6 linked regions of the Kluyveromyces lactis genome follow. The protein of the gene in region 3 purifies or fractionates together with the protein of the main gene of each other region. This does not show direct contact. Links are inferred from orthologs where the notes say so. Each region holds a gene or a part of one and is shown on either strand. Other genes may lie near its edges.

What was found.
Region 1: the proteins of CKA2 (region 3) and RIO1 purify together in Saccharomyces cerevisiae (affinity purification with mass spectrometry; 3 studies listed by BioGRID, with this or other methods). This does not show direct contact. The link is inferred for Kluyveromyces lactis from reciprocal best matches to the Saccharomyces cerevisiae genes CKA2 and RIO1.
Region 2: the proteins of CKA2 (region 3) and CHD1 purify together in Saccharomyces cerevisiae (affinity purification with mass spectrometry; 7 studies listed by BioGRID). This does not show direct contact. The link is inferred for Kluyveromyces lactis from reciprocal best matches to the Saccharomyces cerevisiae genes CKA2 and CHD1.
Region 4: the proteins of CKA2 (region 3) and PSH1 purify together in Saccharomyces cerevisiae (affinity purification with mass spectrometry; 3 studies listed by BioGRID, with this or other methods). This does not show direct contact. The link is inferred for Kluyveromyces lactis from reciprocal best matches to the Saccharomyces cerevisiae genes CKA2 and PSH1.
Region 5: the proteins of CKA2 (region 3) and SPT16 purify together in Saccharomyces cerevisiae (affinity purification with mass spectrometry; 9 studies listed by BioGRID). This does not show direct contact. The link is inferred for Kluyveromyces lactis from reciprocal best matches to the Saccharomyces cerevisiae genes CKA2 and SPT16.
Region 6: the proteins of CKA2 (region 3) and UTP22 purify together in Saccharomyces cerevisiae (affinity purification with mass spectrometry; 4 studies listed by BioGRID). This does not show direct contact. The link is inferred for Kluyveromyces lactis from reciprocal best matches to the Saccharomyces cerevisiae genes CKA2 and UTP22.

What each region holds. Positions count from the first base shown.
Region 1 is NC_006041.1:1,885,045-1,888,532, reverse strand, and holds RIO1 (protein kinase RIO1), read right to left. Parts: upstream 2,082-3,488; coding exon 501-2,081; downstream 1-500. Other genes in the region: RTC5 (Rtc5p), read left to right, coding at 1-448; KEI1 (Kei1p), read left to right, coding at 2,406-2,441, 2,557-3,195. UniProt on the Saccharomyces cerevisiae protein: Required for the final endonucleolytic cleavage at site D converting 20S pre-rRNA into the mature 18S rRNA. Required for the final steps of cytoplasmic maturation of the 40S ribosomal subunit.
Region 2 is NC_006039.1:1,550,690-1,552,967, reverse strand, and holds the end of CHD1 (chromatin-remodeling ATPase CHD1), read right to left. Parts: coding exon 501-2,278; downstream 1-500. UniProt on the Saccharomyces cerevisiae protein: ATP-dependent chromatin-remodeling factor which functions as substrate recognition component of the transcription regulatory histone acetylation (HAT) complexes SAGA and SLIK. It recognizes H3K4me.
Region 3 is NC_006042.1:1,518,601-1,521,322, reverse strand, and holds CKA2 (casein kinase 2 catalytic subunit CKA2), read right to left. Parts: upstream 1,524-2,722; coding exon 501-1,523; downstream 1-500. Other genes in the region: SLD7 (Sld7p), read left to right, coding at 1,984-2,722. UniProt on the Saccharomyces cerevisiae protein: Catalytic subunit of a constitutively active serine/threonine-protein kinase complex that phosphorylates a large number of substrates containing acidic residues C-terminal to the phosphorylated serine or threonine.
Region 4 is NC_006038.1:766,666-769,399, forward strand, and holds PSH1 (ubiquitin-protein ligase PSH1), read left to right. Parts: upstream 1-1,142; coding exon 1,143-2,234; downstream 2,235-2,734. Other genes in the region: PET111 (Pet111p), read left to right, coding at 1-672; COX7 (cytochrome c oxidase subunit VII), read left to right, coding at 2,587-2,734.
Region 5 is NC_006042.1:906,571-910,777, forward strand, and holds the start of SPT16 (chromatin-remodeling protein SPT16), read left to right. Parts: upstream 1-1,407; coding exon 1,408-4,207. Other genes in the region: KLLA0_F09867g (uncharacterized protein), read right to left, coding at 71-1,180. UniProt on the Saccharomyces cerevisiae protein: Component of the FACT complex, a general chromatin factor that acts to reorganize nucleosomes. The FACT complex is involved in multiple processes that require DNA as a template such as mRNA elongation, DNA replication and DNA repair.
Region 6 is NC_006040.1:1,246,613-1,250,790, forward strand, and holds the start of UTP22 (rRNA-processing protein UTP22), read left to right. Parts: upstream 1-1,378; coding exon 1,379-4,178. Other genes in the region: KLLA0_D14762g (uncharacterized protein), read right to left, coding at 133-537. UniProt on the Saccharomyces cerevisiae protein: Involved in nucleolar processing of pre-18S ribosomal RNA and ribosome assembly.

The sequences.
Region 1 (3,488 bases), on a different chromosome or scaffold from region 3:
AGAGATCTTCGATGCGGACCCATTCAAGACAGGAAACGTATATTTCAACACTGTTGGGGGAGGTATAGGTATTGGTAGCTCTCAACCTATCATCAAAGCTAACGGTAAAAAATACTTCCCAGGAAATGTTTCACTTACTATTGATTCATCTCTCGAGTTCGGTATATTTAGACATTTGGGAGCAGGTGGGAGTTTTAAGCCTGGCCGTCTAATAAGTGGACGTGGAGAAGAACGGAATTCGTTCGAATACCGATTCATAATCCAAGATGTAGAAGTGTGGGGATGCGGAGGAGAAAAAGAGCTCGAAGAGCAAGTAAAGCAATGGCAATGGGAAGAGGCCGAAGCCAAAAGAAGGCAAAAGATCAACTTACAAAGCATGGGAGAAGATCGTGCATTATTGGAAATGGCAGGTCTTGTAGGGCAACATCAAAGCGGTGGATCTATTTAAAATCGCTAAGTAAATATTAAATATTTGAAATTGCATAGAATTTTTAAATTGATCATTTCTTGCTTTTCGTCTTGTTAATGAGCTTTTTCTTAACGTGTTTTTTTACTTTGGTCTTCCTCTTTTCACGTTTGGCCTCTTTTGTTTCTTGCTTACGTTGTTTTTTAGCATCTTTATCTTCGTACTTTTTTCCTTTCAGTGGAGTGTCTTTATCGGAGACCCATCCATCACCATCAGAACTATCGTTAGTTTCATCACTATCATCATCTTCATCTGATCCAGCTATGTCATCTTCATTGATATCCGTTACGAGGTTAGGGAGATCATCACCATCTACGTCATCTTCCTCGTCATCAGAAGAAGAGAGTTCATATTGCTCCGATGCTGTGAAATTTTCGGAATATTTCCTGTTTTCATTAGCAATTAATGATTTCAGTAGGTCAAATTTACCATCAGTGAATCTATCAAAATCTCTTTCCTCTAAACCACCCAAATTTCTTATCAAATGTAAAGATCTGAACACTTCATCTTCAGCTTCGTCTTCATCAGTCAACTTTAGAGGTAAATTGTCGGCAACATATGTTTCTAGATCATCGCTTGATCTGTAATCACCCTTGAATTTGTCTAAGACCTCACTGATGATGAACTGGAAGATCACCCGTTCAGGGAAAATGTCAATTCCCAATTTTTGGAAATATGAGTTAACATTCTTAATATCCATTCTTAGGAAATCTAGAGACATAGGATGTTCTGGTTGTACGGATTGCGAAACATCAATAATATAAAGCTTATCCTCATGTACAATACTATTATACTCACTCAAGTCTGCATGAACTAAGCGACATACCTGATATAACAGTCTCATGTACGCTATCATTAAATTGTAGTAATGTTTAATTTCTTCTCTATCTTTGTAAGGATGATCTTTAAGCCTCGGAGATGCGAAACCATCTCCTCTATTTAAAAATTCCATGACTAAAACGTTTGATCTAACTTCTATTGGTTTTGGACAAGGTATGACACCGCTTTGGTATATTCTCTTCAAGTTTCTAAATTCCTTTTCAGCCCAAATTTTGATCATCTTACGAGGATTATGTTGAGATCTCGAATTTCTGAATCTAAATTCACCATCAACGTATCTTTCACGATCCTTAAAAACCAAGATAGATGTCTTGTAAATCTTCACCGCGTATTCCTTCTTATTTTTTGGTTCATCAGTGGCAGTTGAAGTGGATGTGGCATCCTCAGATTCGGCAGTTAGAGCTTTTTGTTTTGTTGATTCAATATTTTGTGGGGCTCCTATTGTATCATCATGTCCCTCTACCAGCAGATGTCTCTCCTCATGATTACCAGCAAACGCATGGTACACGTTTGCTTCTTTACCTGTACTCAAACAACCATTAAATGCTGATAATATTCCCCTGTTCATCATGGATTTCAAAAACCTCATCGTACGTGGGTCTAAAACATTCTCTACAGTGGCCCTATTCGCCTTATCTTTGCTGGTTTTACCCCTAGTTAATGATAACTCATCTGTTTTGATGCTATTGGCATACCTCTCTAGGATCTGAGTGTTGACATGCTCATCACGGTTGGCTAAATTCAGTTTTTCCAGCTTATCGTCAATATTCATCATTCGTAGTCCAACTATAGATAACTTCTGCTTTCTGATTTACTAATTTGACAATACACAGGAGCTGAACGGCGTATATTGTTCTGTAAATAACCACTATTCCAACCTCATCGCTCATCTTGTACACCATTAAAGTAAAGTAGCGTACTTTTTTTTTTCCTACGTTTTTTTTTCACGATGCTCTAGACAGGATCGCGAATTGCTTTTCAATAGAGGAAATAGTTGTAAACATTCTAAAACGCTCAGTAGATGAATTGAAAGGTCTACCTGTGTAAGTGGAAGAAACCAACTTGCTTTAACGTCAGGGTTTGTCCTTATTATACTCCTATGCAGCAGCAATCAAATATGGTTCATTTGCCACAAGTATGTTTCTTTTGGGTATTTAACCGCAGTTGAAAGACGTTTTTACATGATCGTTTGATGCATGGTTTTTTTTTGATACCAGTAATATGTACTAACAGATGACATTGCCCTTTAGACATTCCTGTCTTATCCCTTGTACATAGGTGTTGAGGTTGCACTTGGTGTGCTAACCTTCAACAAATTCAGCGGGATGTATGGTGTTCTTGCACTTTTCACTGGACACCCGTTAGACTTTGTGCAATGGACTTTTTACATCTGGTCAATTTTCTGTCTAGTGGTATTCATTTCAGGAATAAGACAAGTTTATAAGCCCAATATCCTCTTAATGTCCACGGTTACTTTTGTGTTCAGTGTGGACACAATTGTTAGTTGCATTTACTGCTTATGGTTCACTGCTGTGTGGTTCAGCCAGGAGGGCTCCACTGACGTTACGGACTTGAAGAGCGCGGGAACCGCACTTGGACCAGCTCATGAGGGAACCACATCCACGATCTCAACTAAAGTAGATACTTCTAAGAGTGCTTCTAGCGGCTATGAATTTTTCCTCATCATATTGCTAACTTTAGTTCCACTAGCAGTCAGATTCTATTTCAATTTCATCATAATTGCATTCCAACAACAACTATTGCGCAGTGGGAAGTTCACATTCGATCAGAACGATATAGAAGTCAATCTACACAACAGAAACATTTTGTTTAAATGGAGATACAAATTCGAAAAATGGTGTTTCTACCTATGCAAGAGATACTTATAGCCCGGTACCCTTTAAACACATCATTATATAGATACGGACTAATATTATCATATAGCTAACATTGCATCATTGTCTTTTCAAAAAGTGGTCCAAGTGGGGTTCGAACACGGAATTAATTCCTAATCAGAGAGCAATTTTTTGATAAGATGCACCATCCTATTGAGAGATCAGTAAGAGTGACTCATAAAAAAAAGCGAACACAAGACCATCAATTGGCACTGGATATGACACACAATGCGTGATCACTCTTGACAGGGTACCTCTTTATACAATGAAGCTTGCATCGCTCATTG
Region 2 (2,278 bases), on a different chromosome or scaffold from region 3:
GTCTTTTTAAACAAACAAATTGCACAAAATAAAATGTTACAATAACTGAACCAGAAAGGTAATACAAATAAGTAACAAACGAAACAGTATAAACTAACCAAGATAACTAAAAACTTATAACAAATTAAATAAATGAAACAACATCACAAGAACTTATTTAAAATCGTTATATAATTCATCCATCTCTGTGAGAACAGTCCTTAATTGTTGTGATGAGTTAGCCAAAAAGTGAAAATTTTCATTGAAAAATTTAAAGAGTTGAAAAAGAGTTTAAAGCTTTTCCACAAAAGGAAAGGTAGGTACGTGCGAAATGATCTGAGGCATCACCACAACAAACCAGGTATTTTACTAGCAGCCGGCTGTTTCTGGTGCGCCCTTGTGCCTCATGTCATTTATGAAGGTAATAATAACTAATAGCAATATGTTGTTGATTAGATATCTTTTTTTTTTTCGTAAATTGATAGGCGTATATATCTCTATGTTTTGTTACATTTGACTAATTAATGTTCAGAGGCTTTGATTTTGTCGTACATCGCCAGGAGTTTGGAAGATGGGACATCTCTTGGCCAGTAATATGCAGTGAAAGACCATAAATGTCTTTTATATTTTTCTGGAGAGGTCTTAGACGAGTCCTTCTTGTGCGATTCGATGTAGTCACCAACACGTTTCAATTCCTTCTTCAATAGGTTAGCCCATTGCTTACGTTCAAGACCGTCTCCTCCAGATCTTAGACGTTTGAGTGAGCTACGGACGTTTGTCATCGTTTTCTTACACTCTTCTTCGTCCATACTGTCGTATTCTTTGTCAGGAAGACGGATATCGGCTTTTGGTGCCAACGGTATGTCTTTACCTTTCCTCTGCTGTTTTTTCGATCCGACGACAGGCGTACCAGATCTTGATGATGGTTGTTGATGGTGATGGGCCTTGCCACGCTTTGTTTCGGAGCTATTGTCTGGTGTAGAGTCCTTGCCGGTTAAGTTAACACTATTGCCGTCACTTGGGGTACCAGCGGTATGGGCATTTTCGTTCCCATTGCTGTTCCCAGCAGTAGTAGCAGACTTCTTTGGTTTACGTTTGTTTTGCTGAGGCGTCGTGGTTCCGGTTGACGAAGAGCCGGCAGGGTGAGATGGATCAGTTTGGGGACCCTTAGCTTCGTCTCTTAGGACAGTGAATAAGTAATCGACTCTTCTACCGAGATGCACAGCACCGGGAGCTTTCTTCACTGTTTTCTTATTAGTGTTTTCAGAAGACGCCGTCACGATTGGTGTGTTTGCCGTAGTGTCAGGAGTTTCTGTCTTTACAGCATCAGCACCAGGTGTTGAAGACCCCGCAACAGATGCCCCTGGAGCAGATGGTGTGAGACTAGGTGCTGCAGGAGTGGCAGCTTTCTGAGTAACTTCATTGTTCAAGAAAAGTTTTTCAGTTAGTCCCAAAAACGGATCATCTCTGATTTGCATCCATGCACCGTAACCATACTTATAGATACCGATTAACAGCTTCTCATCGTCTTCTTTACCCCATACGCAATTCCACGCAGACACAGGTTTTGGATTCTTATTCACGAACTTGAATTGTAACGGGTCGTCTTTGTAGTTTCTTTCCACAAAATTGGATAAGAATTTTAGATTGTCGCGTCTATTAACAAGGGTGTCTGCGTTTAGTGCTTTAGTATCGTGGAATTCGAATAGGATGGCTCTTTTCTCTCTTCTTTTAGCAGATAAAAGAGTGATAGGAGTTTCTTTACCAGCATCATCTTCAGGCTTAATTTCCAAGTTTTTAATTTTCTGTCTGTATTCGGCTGCATCCTTTTCTAACTTACTAAATATTTCATGCCTCTTAGCCTCTTCGTCTCTCATCAAAGTTTCTGCCTCTGTAATCATTTCGTGGTAAAGCTCTTTATATCTATCAATAGATTTTACGGGTAATGATCCATCGGCAATCAGCTCTTCAAACTTGTTTTCAATATCACCAAATCGAAGAATACACTTGTATAATGCTCTGATTTCTCTTTCACCAAAAGCGTCCAAGTTGTTAGCTTTAGATCTCTTTCTAGATTTGGAGTTACCTTCGTCTTCTGAGTCACTCCCAAACGTTTCTCCGTTGACAGATCTCTTAATCTTATCAATGGCAGCAGTTTTACGGTTCATTATATCTAACTGTTCTCTGACATATTCTTCGTCGATACGCCTTTGTTCTTCATCCTTTAGTTTCTTGAGTTCATCTTCGGGGATAATGTCATCCCAATCAACATCAGCTTTATAATCCGTAACTTCAAACT
Region 3 (2,722 bases):
AGATTGTTTTTTTCCCTGTGATTGAGAAATATAGACTAATAATAATGGCATTTTCAATTCTCATCACTGAACTTTCACCGCAATAATAGTTTCGATCATGGGTTTTTGTAACTATTTCCACCCTGTTTCATATTCCTTTGGTCTATTTCCTTTCCTACTTATAGTAGTGTCTCTCTCTCTGCGCCTGCGCTAGTAAGAGCCTTTTCTTTCAGGTTTGGTAGCTATTACACCTATTAATTATATATCCTTTTTAATGAATTAACGACTATCATAATATTACATCTTCTTTAAATCTTAAGCAAAAGAGACATGTGTTTCTGTCCTCTTTTTCAGGTGTTGTATTAATTATATGTTATTAGTATACATGCTTTTAATTGGAAAGCAATCAAAGACAGAAGAAGAATCCCCCAAAGTTAACCATAAATGGAAGATAAGAGGGAAAAGAAAATTTGATGATAGAGAGATGAGAAAACAGATATATATTACCGTTTAGGCATACACTATGAGAAATCTTTTTTGAAGAATTTATGCTCCATGGCTTCTTTTGCAGTTAATCTCTCTTGGTGATCATAACGTAGTAAATGGTCGATCAAATCAATTATTTCGTCCACAGCCAACGGCGTCTTATCATTGGCGAAATAGCTCCATGGTTTCCGTTCGTAGTTCTTCATGATATCGTTGTATTCTGCAGGAAGATCCAATCCGTAATGTTTCAAGTAATAGAATAACTCCTGCGTACCAAGTACCTTGGCAATTTTCACCAATTGATCTGCATTCGTGCTTCCTTTGAAAAATGGCTCCTTCTTGAAAACAATAGCTGCTATCATACATCCGACAGCCCACAAATCTAAAGAGTAATCGTATTGGTTTAAGCTCACCAAGAGTTCAGGTCCCTTGTGATAACGAGACGCCACCCTGATGTTATAATCCACTCCCGGATGGTAAAACTCTGCTAATCCCCAATCGATCAACCTTAGCTTACGTTCATTAGGATCAATCATGACGTTTTGAGGCTTCACATCACGATGCATGATACCCATCGAATGACAATAGTCTAAAGCAGTTAACAATTGTGTGAAATAAAATTGCGTATCCGATAATGTAAACGATGGATAAAGCGTACGGAAGTCGACATTTTTCACCTCTTCAAAGATCAATGCCGGGATTTTGGATCCTGGATCTTGAACAATATCCAATAATCCAATTATATTAGGTCCCCCTGTCAAATTAGTTAACACTTTTAACTCTCTATAAATTTTCTTCATCTTCACTGGCTTGAGAACCTTGATGACGCATGGTATATCGTTCAATACAGATTTCCCTTTGAAAACTTCACTGTATTTACCACGACCAATCTTTTTTATCACTTCATAGTTCGAAATCTTACCCCAATCAATCATCACGCATTGTTCATAATCCCAGTACTCTTGAGGGCGTTTCTCACAAGCATCCTGATACACCCTAGCAACGCTATAAACTCGTTTGCTCTTCTTATTCAACGCAGAAGGTTGTAACGTCGACATGATGAGAAGGAAATCAAAAAAAAAAAAGAGATGACCTCCCTTTTCCCGTTTTCAAAACTTAGAGTCTGATGTGATCCAAAACGGTACTCTCTAGCCTCTGTAGTCTCTAACCACTTCCAACTTCTGGCTGTCTATTGTTCAATTACGTTGAGCAATAACATTTTTTTTCTTTGCCTTCACTTTATTTCAATGTTGAAAACTGAAAGCATTTTGTTTGGAGCCGTGAAAGCGTCGAGAGAAAAAAGATTCGTATGGTAACAATGGATATAAGCTAAGCTTTTGCACCGTGAACCACAATACAACGGCGGACTTTCATATACAGGGAAACTAAGACTATAAAGGAGGTGAATACATTGTCTGGTCAGTTTCAAATTGTTAAGTGAAAGTAGCAAACGTGAAAGAAGACCTCGGTAGGCCTGGTATTAGGGGAATTGGACCTGGAGAGTTGCGCGATGAACCTATGACACTAGAAAAAGAACTTATCTTGAGGCTTAATGTGGGTCATAACACTGTGATAAGAGACGTCCAGTTGTGGCGTGAATTTGAGGACGGTGATGGCCAAATTGCAGTGAAAAATTGTCTGGCAGAAGTTGTTGGAATGGTCAACATTGATAAGCTGCCGTTTTGGCTCAATAGAGGTCAACGGTACCAATGCTTCACTACTAGCGAGACCAGCGTCAATTATTTCAGAGCGAAGTTGATGAGACAACGACACAGGAATCGAGGAATTGTATGTAAAGTAACGGGATCCCAAGTGTTGACGAAAGAGCAATTCGAATATTTCCTATTCTACAAGCGTTTGAAGACCGATATAAACGCGTCTTTCGAAATTGAATCGATGGTACTTCACTTATCGACTAAACACGAACTTGATAAGAAATTGATACCGTTATCAGCCGACGAACTACAATCTGTTGTGCCAAGTAACGCTGGAGCAACGATGTCGATCGAATCGATTCTAGAGAAGAACAAACGTCAGCGAATACTGAAAAGTAACTCGTTGAACAAACAAGTCTTGCTCAACGATCAACAGCAGCAATTTATGTCGTTGCTGTCTCAGTGCATACTTTCAGGACTCAGGCTACGAGGAGTTCATCGAACTCAACACGAAAAATTGTACAAGATGACGTACAAGGCGTCTGAATTCGCTTTCAGAGACGAACTCAGAGAAACTGAACCCATTAGTTTTGAATCGATCC
Region 4 (2,734 bases), on a different chromosome or scaffold from region 3:
ACGCTCAAGAGCTCGTATAGGACCATTCCTTTGAAGGTCAAAATTCTAAACTTACGTGCAAACTTGTACAAATTAGCATATCAACTACGGAAAGCACAACAACCTAATGAAATCATGAGATCTCAGAGTTTAAAAATGATCGAACGATTTGTGAAGGAGCATCAACGCGAATTGAATTTCCAGAACTATATCCAATTGGCCATGTTAGCGTCTCGATACAAAGGCAGATACCTATGTGACAAATTATTTGCAAAGAGCATTGTGACCAGGGACCCAACGGACAGTAGGGCTACTTATATCATATACAGGTCATTGCTTGCATTTTTCGTGAGGTTAAAGGAGCCAAAGAAATTTTTATCAACTTTAAAGAAGTTGAATAACGAATCCCATGTTATCGTCACTAAATATTTGTTGAGTACTGTGAAATACAACATCGCTTACTTTGATAAATTTAATTGTGAGGATACCAACGCAATGATAGTGGAGTATGAGAAACTACGAAAAAGATATGCCTTTACCAAGCTTGAAGGGCTAGATGCCATCAAAGAGTTAATGACGTATCTAAGAAAATGGTTAGATCATGAAGTATACAAGCATCAGACTTCAACTTATCAAAAACAGTTGGAACTGGAAAAGCAGTATAGAAAGGCACCCAAAGAGGTTGTGAAATAGGACACTGGCACAACACAAGCTCAAATAAAGAGCTGTTAAATATATTTCTCTGCGTCCTCGTCTTACCATTGTCATCTCTCCACTTGTAAATAGAATATCGGAGAGAATGAAAACTAGGCCTGACGTATATACCTTAGCATCAACATCATCAACAACAAAATTTAATTCAGCATTTCAATATATGTAAAGATATATGTATATTTATTCGAGAATAATATCCCAATTATAAGAACTCTTACTTAGCCGTACGCTATATCTTCGTCTCTTGTGCATTACATTGTTGCCATTATTTCGTTCAGTTTCTTAAAAAGAAAAGCCCTTAAGACCAAAAACAGGAAAAAACCTTTAAAAAGCTGCGATTGCGAAACAATACATCGCGAGATGATTAGGGATACATTATTCAATTGGATGGCAGGCGAACCCGCTTTATATTAAGAAACGATAACTTCGATCTTCACCTCATTATCAAGATGAACGGACATTTACATACGGTTATACCGAAAAAATCCAATGCGGATCATTTACGAATCGTGGGCAGAGTGCTTGATTCCACAGTATGCACGATATGCCACGATTATATGTTTGTACCAGTCATGACGAGCTGTGGACACAACTATTGTTACGAATGTTTGAATAACTGGTTGAACAACAATCGATCCAACGTATCAGAATTAACGTGTCCGCAATGTCGAAATGTGATTACCAATGAACCATCGTTGAACGTTGCCTTACAACAAATAGTCGATCTGATGCTAGATATAGCAGCGGAGGACCCACAGAAATCGAATTCCTCCGAAGTACGATCACTGCTCACACAAAGAGAATGCTCCGTTGCTGAATACAAGTCTGACCTGTTGGAAGAAACGCTATTCAACAGTGTGTTTAAGAATACTGCCAAAGCCATCATAGACGATGATGACGATGGGATAGCAAGGTGTAGCAATTGCCAATGGGAAGTTGAGGGTCCCGTGTGTCCTAACTGCAATGCTACGATACGGAATTATAATGCGGGTGCACAGAACTTCGACGAAGTTGATGTGGATGAGTACTCTGACGGAGAACTGGAAGAGGTTGAGAGAGATTTGGACAATTATAGAGCCGAGAGTGCACGTACTGTGCACGATTTGGAAGCCGAAGAGGGAGATGAGAGTCTCAGTTCAGAGATGGACCAGGCATGGCCCACAAGACGGCCTAGGAACTTTATGCATGGAGAAGAAGAAGAGGAGGAAGAGGAAGATAGAGGATCGATAGATTCGTTCATAGTGGATGAGGAAGAAGAAGAAGAAGAAGAGGAAGAGGAACAAGAATTGAAAGATGAACGGAAGTTCCGTAGAGCATCTGTTGCCCTCTCAGATGACGATGACAACGAATCTCGCGACAGTGATTTCTACGAACATAATGACGATGGATACGCGAGTGGTGACTCCCTTGACGAAAGTACTAGTAACGACGAACTAGAACCGCACACCATCCGTCTCACTCATAGTCAAGACAACAACAACAACAACAACAACAACTCCGCGCGTAAGAAACGTCTCATAGTCCTAGACTCTGATGAGTAACAATAACAGCGTATATACACCTTGTACAACCTTCTAACGATACTAAAAGTCACGTGTAAACCACCATCACGTGCAACAACCCCGCAGTTACCCTGAATGTCCCCGTATCTTTTCCCAGCCTATGGAGTTTTCGCTGTTTAGAGGGAAGTTGAATTTTCACACCACTCGAAAGCCAGTAGGGGAATATCAGATACTGAGATTAAAAAAAATTTTGGAAGAAATAAACTGTTATGATAGTTAGTTTACACTTGGTGAATACAGTTTTCGATTTGATTCATAGTATTTGTATATTTTGTTTGTTGTTCATCGATTGCCAATACATTTGTTTAATCATAGCCCCAAACATTGAACGATGCCTTCTCCAAGCAAAATTATTGAACTACAAAAGCTGTTCCAACACTCTTCTAAGCCATTGTGGTCTAGACATCCAAGATCGGCTTTCTACTTGTACCCATTCTGGGGTTTGTTTACTGTGGCCCTTGTTGCTCCATTGCTATACA
Region 5 (4,207 bases), about 610 kb from region 3:
CTATAATTTATTTATTCGTGATGAGATGCAATGCATATAACAAATTCCGTCGAAATTTCTTACTTCATATCTATTCTTTAGAAAGGTATTCTTTAGAAGTGTCTCGTAGTTTTGTCTTCTTGTCTTTCATGTAATTTATTACATTGTTAAATGTTATGGTCGTAATGCTTTTAATAAGTTCCTCGTATTCCTCGTTGATCTTGGTAACTGCTTCCGACTTTTCCTGCAATTCTATCTGGAATTGTTCATAAGTGAAAGGTTGCAACGATCGTTGGTATAAATTCGGATGGCGTTCACAAAGGTCGGCAAATAGATGAAGAGACTGCAAAAGAAGACTTGCTAATGTGAGGTGTAGAGAGTAATCCCCAAGACTTCTCTTATTAGATACCGACAGGTTGTACATTTCCGGATAAATAGTTATCACTTCGTTAATAATATCGATAGCATACGCTGAAAGGATATTGAGTCTTATGGCTAATCCATCCAAAGTTTCATCCCTAAGTGCTTCCTTTATCTTCTCTACTCCCTCAGTTAAATCACCTGCAAGAATTTGGTATGCAGAGAGTACAATAGGAAGTATTTGCACTTCTAACTCTTTAGCCCATCTGTTTATATTTCTTCTTGTAGCCAAAAGATCATCGGATGCCTTGGAAAACAATTCGTCATCATGCTCAAGACGTCTTCTTTCTGAGTCTATTCGCATGAAGGCGAATATAAATTCGCTGCTGATTTGCTCCGCAAAAGTAATTTCTCGCGACATAAAATGTGCAAATCCTAAATAAAACTTTCCAAGATCTATTACATCGTTCTTCCCATCATACATCACCAAAAAAGGATACTTCTTCCTCAATAATTCTGTTAGTTTCTCGCTATCCAGATGGTTAGCAGAACTTAAGTTGTTCCCACTCATTATTTTGGTACAAATAAACCAGTGAACCACCCCGATGTGATTATAGGCTTTGATGTTGATATACACCCAATAATGAAAAGTAAACGTGCACTTTCCACTGTTAACTTCTATTATAGTCATCCTCGGTTCAAAATACATTGGAAGCATCTTAGTATGGAATTGATCTCCAGTCACGTGAAGAGAATCAAATCCGTTTACAGTGATATATTCTCCCTTTAACCTGAATTTTTCAAAATTTAGTAAAAAAAAAACGCGACGCCAATAATGCATATATTATAGTTTTAAATTGAAGAGTAACATTAATAATTTTTGCAAACTATACCCATTGTTTAAGAGCTGGCAGGAAATTAAAGCAAAGGGACTCTTTGGTACTTTTATTGAAATAACCTGCAAAGCATTTCGTGGCTCGGTATTTCAAACTCATTGTTCTATTAGGCGTGGCAGTTGTCTTTTTTGGTTAGATATTGAGGACCCCATTGTGCTAATCTCAAGTAACAATGAGTGACGGAGGAATTGAAATTGATTTCCAAGCCTTTTATGATAGGTTTACAAAATTAGGGAAGGCATATTCTGGATTTGAAGGTTCTCCAAATAGTCTTCTCTTTGTACTTGGTTCGACTAATGAGGAAAACCCTTATCAAAAGACCACCATTTTGCATAATTGGTTGCTAGGGTATGAGTTTCCAGCTACATTGATTGCCTTTTTCAAGGATAAAGGTGTCATCATAACCAGCAGTGCTAAGGCGAAACATCTTTTGCCCGCTGTTACTAAGTTTGAAGGATCAGATTACAAACTTGAGATCTGGCAAAGAAATAACAAGGATGCAAATCACAATAAGAAATTGTTTGAGGACCTCATCAAGCTGTTATCAGAAAACGGTAATACTGTCGGTGTCCCAACGAAGGATTCATATCAAGGTAAGCTCATTCTTGAATGGAAACCGCTTTGGGAAGAAGCTAAAAAGACGCATTCTTTAAACGTAATCGATTGCTCTGCTGGTTTGTCTTCTACTTGGAAGGGCAAAGATGATAAGGAAAAGGCTTACCTTTCTGTATCCAGTAAGGGATCTGACAAATTCATGGATCTTATGTCAAATGAAATCGTCAATGCTGTTGACGAAGAACTAAAAATATCAAATTCTAAGTTGTCAGATAAAATTGAAAACAAGATAGATGATTCCAAGTTTTTGAAGAAACTTTCAAGTGATCTAAATCCTTTGTGTCCTACCGACGAGAAATTCGACGTTAATTTCCTTGATTGGGCCTATTCTCCAATTGTGCAATCAGGTTCTAAGTTCGACCTTAAGGTTTCTGCTCGTTCTAACAACGACTCACTTTTCGGAAAGGGTTCCATCCTAGCCTCATGCGGTATCAGATACAAGAATTACTGTTCCAATATCACCAGAACTTTTTTGATTGACCCGACAGATGAAATGACTGACAATTATGACTTTTTATTGATTTTGCAAGAGAAGATCATCGATGATTTATTAAAAGTAGAAGCTGATCCAACATCTATTTATGAAAAGACACTGGAATTCATCAAAGAAAAGAAACCGGAATTATTATCTCACTTTACTAAAAATGTTGGTTCTTTGATGGGGTTGGAATTTAGAGACTCTGCTGGTATGATCAATGCTAAACCAACCGCTCATAAAATTTCAGAGAATTGCTGTTACAATATTTCACTCGGATTTGGGAATTTAAAGGATAGTAAAACTGGTCAGGTATATGCTGTTCAATTAGCAGATACCGTTCAACTTTCTTCTGATGGAAAGCCATCCACTTTGACCAAGTACACAAAGGCTAGATCCCAAATCTCGTTTTACTTCAACAACGAAGAAGAGAACAAAGCTGCAACTGTTAAATCTGAAAAAAGCAAGCCTCCTGCTTTACCAAAACCTGATGGTACATCGAAGATTTTGAGATCTAAGCTACGTGGAGAAAGTCGTGCTGACGATGAAGAGAAAGAACAAATCCGCAAAGAGAACCAAAGAAAACTTCATGAAAGATTACAGAAGGAAGGTTTACTCAGATACAGTGATGCAGATGCAGTAGATGGCGATGAGAAGCCAAAGCATTTCTTCAAAAAGTACGAATCTTACGTTAGGGAAACTCAAATACCATCCAATGTACGTGATTTGAAGATTCATGTCGACTGGAAGAGTCAGACAATCATTCTACCAATCTATGGTAGACCTGTACCTTTTCATATCAATTCATACAAAAACGGTTCTAAAAATGAAGAAGGTGAATACACTTATCTCAGATTGAATTTCCATTCTCCTGGTGCTGGAGGTGTCGGTAAGAAAACTGAGGAGTTGCCGTATGAAGAGAACCCAGAGAATCAATTTGTTCGTTCTCTAACTTTAAGATCTAAGGATGGTGCTCGCATGAGCGATGTTTTCAAACAAATTACTGATCTTAAGAAGGAATCTACCAAACGTGAACAGGAAAGAAAAGCTTTGGCTGATGTTGTTGTCCAGGCTAAATTGGTGGAGAACAAAACTGGTAGGACTAAACGTTTGGACCAAATCTTTGTCAGGCCTAGTCCCGATACCAAGCGTGTGCCAGGTACGGTGTTCATTCATGAAAATGGTATCAGATACCAGTCTCCATTGAGGACAGATTCAAGAATTGATATCCTATTCTCAAACATCAAGAATCTATTCTTCCAATCATCAAAGGGAGAACTTATTGTGATCATTCATGTTCATCTAAAGAATCCTATTTTAATGGGTAAAAAGAAGATCCAAGATATTCAATTTTACAGAGAAGCATCTGATATGGCTGTCGATGAGACAGGAAACAGCAGACGCAACAACATGAAATTTAGAAGATATGGTGATGAAGATGAATTAGAACAAGAACAAGAAGAAAGAAGAAAACGTGCTGCCCTTGATAAAGAATTTAGATATTTTGCTGAAGCTATAGCAGAGGCATCCGATGGTCTCCTAGATGTAGATTCTCCATTTAGAGATCTTGGTTTCCAAGGTGTTCCTTCTAGATCAGCCGTGTTCTGTATGCCAACGAGAGACTGCTTAATTCAATTAGTTGAACCGCCATTTTTAGTCATAAATTTGAACGAAGTTGAGATTTGTATACTTGAAAGAGTTCAATTTGGATTGAAGAACTTTGACATGGTCTTTGTTTATAAAGATTTGACAAAGCCTGTTTCTCATATAAACACTGTACCAATTGAGCAACTTGAATTCATTAAGACATGGTTAACAGATGTTGATATTCCATATACTGTTTCTACAATTAACTTGAACTGGTCGACAATCATGAAGTCGC
Region 6 (4,178 bases), on a different chromosome or scaffold from region 3:
TTGATAATTCGTCGTTGTCAATTATATTTATGGACCAGTCATTGCTTTTGTTCGGGATAAAACTCTCTAGTCCCGCTAGTCTCAATTGTCCAATTAAACAGTAAACCCATCTGTTAAATTGGTCCTTTGACTTCACTTGTTGTAGATGAACAGACGTCTTGTCTTGGAACCTGGAAAAGTCATCAAAGCTTTATATTCGCTGTCACACGAGTTGTTATTCTTCTTGGAATAACTAAACAACAGACTGCTTCGATATCTGTATTCCCTATCAAACACTTCGTAAGTACTTCCTCCAAATATCTCTCTCTCGGGATCTAAGTCTGAGTATGGGTTAACATTTTTATCCTCTTTTAAACTCTGTTTAGGAGCACTACCATCACTAACGATATCGAGTCTTTGTATATCTTCACAGATACCTCTTGTCGGATCATTACTTCCTTGCGGAGACTCAGTGACGCTGCCATGTAGGTGATCCTGGTTGTCGCAGTCACAGTCACGTGTAATTAATTCAAAACCTTCGGTATCAGATGAATCCATAGTGTTTACTAGCTATATATAGCTAGTGTGTTGATGCACCTGGCGATCTGTCATGACTGTGTTGATGGTCTTTCCCCAGATCTATGGCCTCTTTATATAATAACTCAGATTGGTTAATGATGTTTCATGTTGATACTTGACCGTCTATTGTTTCTAATCCGTCTCAACAGATAACCCGCCGAATGATCTAAAAAATCTGTAAAATTTGTAATAGATTTCGTGCCTCCTTAGCTTAGTGGTAGAGCGTTGCACTTGTAATGCAAAGGTCGCTAGTTCAATTCTGGCAGGTGGCATTCATCTTTTTCAATATCCAATCTGACCTTCCTCGAATCTATTTTTTTTTTCTTAAAGTAACATTGTGCACTAAAACTAGCAATACGGTACGTCTAAAACCATGTATTCCCTATATTACTACATATCGGGATAGTACCAGTTCCAGCACTTGAGTTGGACTTGGCTTTAGTCCAGTATGACTCTATGTATCTGACTATCTAACTGATTATTCAGAGAGACTGAGATTGGACACGTCGTATAAAGTGACAGACGCATCAAAATCCTTCACATCGAATTTTGGAAAAATTTGCCAGGCGATGAGCTTTAAAGGTTTAAAGAATTCGCATTTACATAGAATGAACGTACCCATAGGCAGGTTTATCACAGTGATTTTGTTTGGATTTCCCTCGTATTAGTTTGCTAGATATTAAAAGGGTAATTCTCTTCTGTTTTGGCTAGGGGAAATTGAAACCCTAGGACTCGGGCACTGGCTATCATTCTGTATTATAATCAATCCAGAGGCGCAAACGGTCAGGAACTAGTGAATTAAGTGGATATTTAGTGAACTATGGCCTCTGTGAAACGTGTAGCACCAGATGGTGAGAAGTCCAGGAATGGTAGTTTCACCAAGAAGGCGCTTGTAAAAGCTATTACTGGCTCACAGGCTGAAAATGACAGTGACAAGACTGGTTCTTCTTCTTCTGGAGAAGAAGAAGAAGAAAGAGAGGAAGAGGCTACTGCCTCTTCCAGCGGGGAAGAAGACGAGGAAGAGGAAAACACACATGACCATAAGGCTAAGAAGCCAAAGTTGAGCTCCCAGGATATACAAATAGCGAGAGAAACGGCTGAACTCTTCAAATCGAACATTTTCAAATTACAAATCGATGAGTTATTGGAACAAGTGAAGTTGAAGGACTCACACATCGTAAGGGTGGAGAAGTTTTTGCATAAACTATATGATATGATACAGGAAGTACCGGAATGGACTCCGCAAAGCTTAGAAGATGTAGAGAAATATTTCCATGGGAAAGTGGTATCAGTTCCGTTTGTGGATCCAAAACCACAAGCGAAGAACACACAGTACAAATTCAATTATTTAAAGCCGGACGTGAGTTTAATTGGATCATTCGGGTTGAAGACTGCCATCTACCAACCTCAGGGCTCCGCAGTAGACGTTTTGTTGACTATGCCTGAGCAGTTGTTCGAAAAGAAAGATTTCTTGAATTTTAGATGTTTCCACAAGCGTTCAGTATACCTCGCGTATTTGACTCATCATATCTCACTCGTCCTGAAAAGAAGCCAGCTGGATTTCTTACACTTGGAATATTCATACTTTAACAACGATCCTTTACAAACGGTATTAAAGATAAGTTGTAAGGAGAAAACTTCATCGGACTATAATTTCTACAAGACTAAATTCAGCATAAACTTGATCGTGGGGTTCCCATACAATTTCTTCGAATCAAAGAAGTTGCTACCCAATAAGAACTGTATCAGAGTCGGTCAGGATAACGAAACTCCGACACCTTTCTACAATTTCTCGGTATTATCATCTTCTTGTCACGAACACTATTTGAAGTACTTACACAAATCAAAGAAACAAACAGAACAGTTTAAACAGGCTTGTATTTTGGGGAAGCTATGGTTATCTCAGAGAGGCTTCTCATCAAATATGTCTCATTCAGATGCGTTGGGTGGTTTTGGAAATTTCGAGTTTGCCACGTTGATGGCAGCCCTACTAAATGGTGGTGGGTTGAATGGTAACAGAATTTTATTGCATGGGTTCTCATCTTACCAATTATTCAAAGGTGTAATCAAATATTTGGCCACAATGGATCTTTGTACTGATGGGTACTTACAATTCTATTCCGACTATAGCACTACTGCAACTGTCACTTCCTCAAAATACGTTGAAGAAGGTTTCCAAACACCTACAATCTTTGATAAAACCACCAAAGTTAACATACTGAGTAAAATGTCTGTTAACAGCTATCAAATGCTAAAGATCTACGCGCAAGAAAGTTTATTGATGTTGAATGACGTCGTCAGAGATCAGTTCGAAAACATGTTCTTAACTAACTTAAACAAGATCAAGACAGTGAAATATGATGCTTACTATGATTTAGATATCCCATCCATCAATTTACTACTGTCCAAGTTCGGTCCCGTTGAAAAGATTAGCTTTATATCATTCGAAAATTTCATCTGCAATAAAGTATCGAACATCGTGAAGATTGCCCTTGAGGATAGAATCAAAGCTTTTGAAGTGGCTCTAGTTAACAATAGATCTACTTTCCCAGTAACAAAGAGAAAAGTTGCTGCTGTTCCAAATTTCACTTCAATCCAAATTAAACTGTTGATCAACCCTGCAGAATGTGAGAAGCTTGTGACTAAGGGCCCAGAGAACACAGAAGAATTAACTAATGAAGCTAATGAATTCAAGATTTTTTGGGGTAAAAAAGCATCTCTTCGTAGATTCAAGGACGGTTCCATTGCAAACTGCTGTGTCTGGTCAACTTCTGCTATTGAAAGTGTTGTTTCTTCGATTTTGTCCTATGTTCTAAGGCTACATTTGACTGAAGACTGCAAACTCATCAATAATTCCACTAGCCAATTCCAACAGTTGTTACCACTACCGAACCTACCTGCATCTTCAAAGACATCAGTTCTAAACCTATCAAGCTACTATAACTTGAAGAAGTCCTTTGACGATTTGTATAAAATCATGTTCGAGCTAAAACTCCCATTATCAATTAAATCTCTTTTACCTATTGGTTCTGCATTCAGGTACACATCATTATGTCAGCCTGTCCCATACGCATATTCTAATCCTGATTTCTTACAAGACGTTGTTATCGAATTCGAAACGTCTACAAAATGGCCTGACGAAATTACTTCGTTGGAAAAGGCTAAAGCTGCATTTTTATTGAAGATTCAAGAATCCATCACGCAGACTCATAGTGAGTACAAGTGCTACTTTACACGTGATGAATCGATTCCATACAACTTGGAAATAGTTACTCTAAACATTTTGACTCCAGAAGGATACGGTTTCAAGTTTAGAGTTCTAACTGAGAGAGACGAAGTTATGTATTTGAGAGCAATTAACAACGCAAGAAAAGAACTAAGACCAGAGCTGGAAAAGACATTCTTGAAATTTACTGCCAAGTACCAAGCTGCTATTAGACATACTAGAACTTTGGAAAACATTTCCCATAGTTACCCATTCTACTCTCCAGTGGTAAGACTATTTAAGAAATGGCTAGATTCTCATCTCTTATATGGCCATTTGTCAGAAGAATTGATTGAGCTTATTGCCATTAAGCCATTTGTAGAGCCACGTCCATTCACCATGCCAGGTTCCGTTG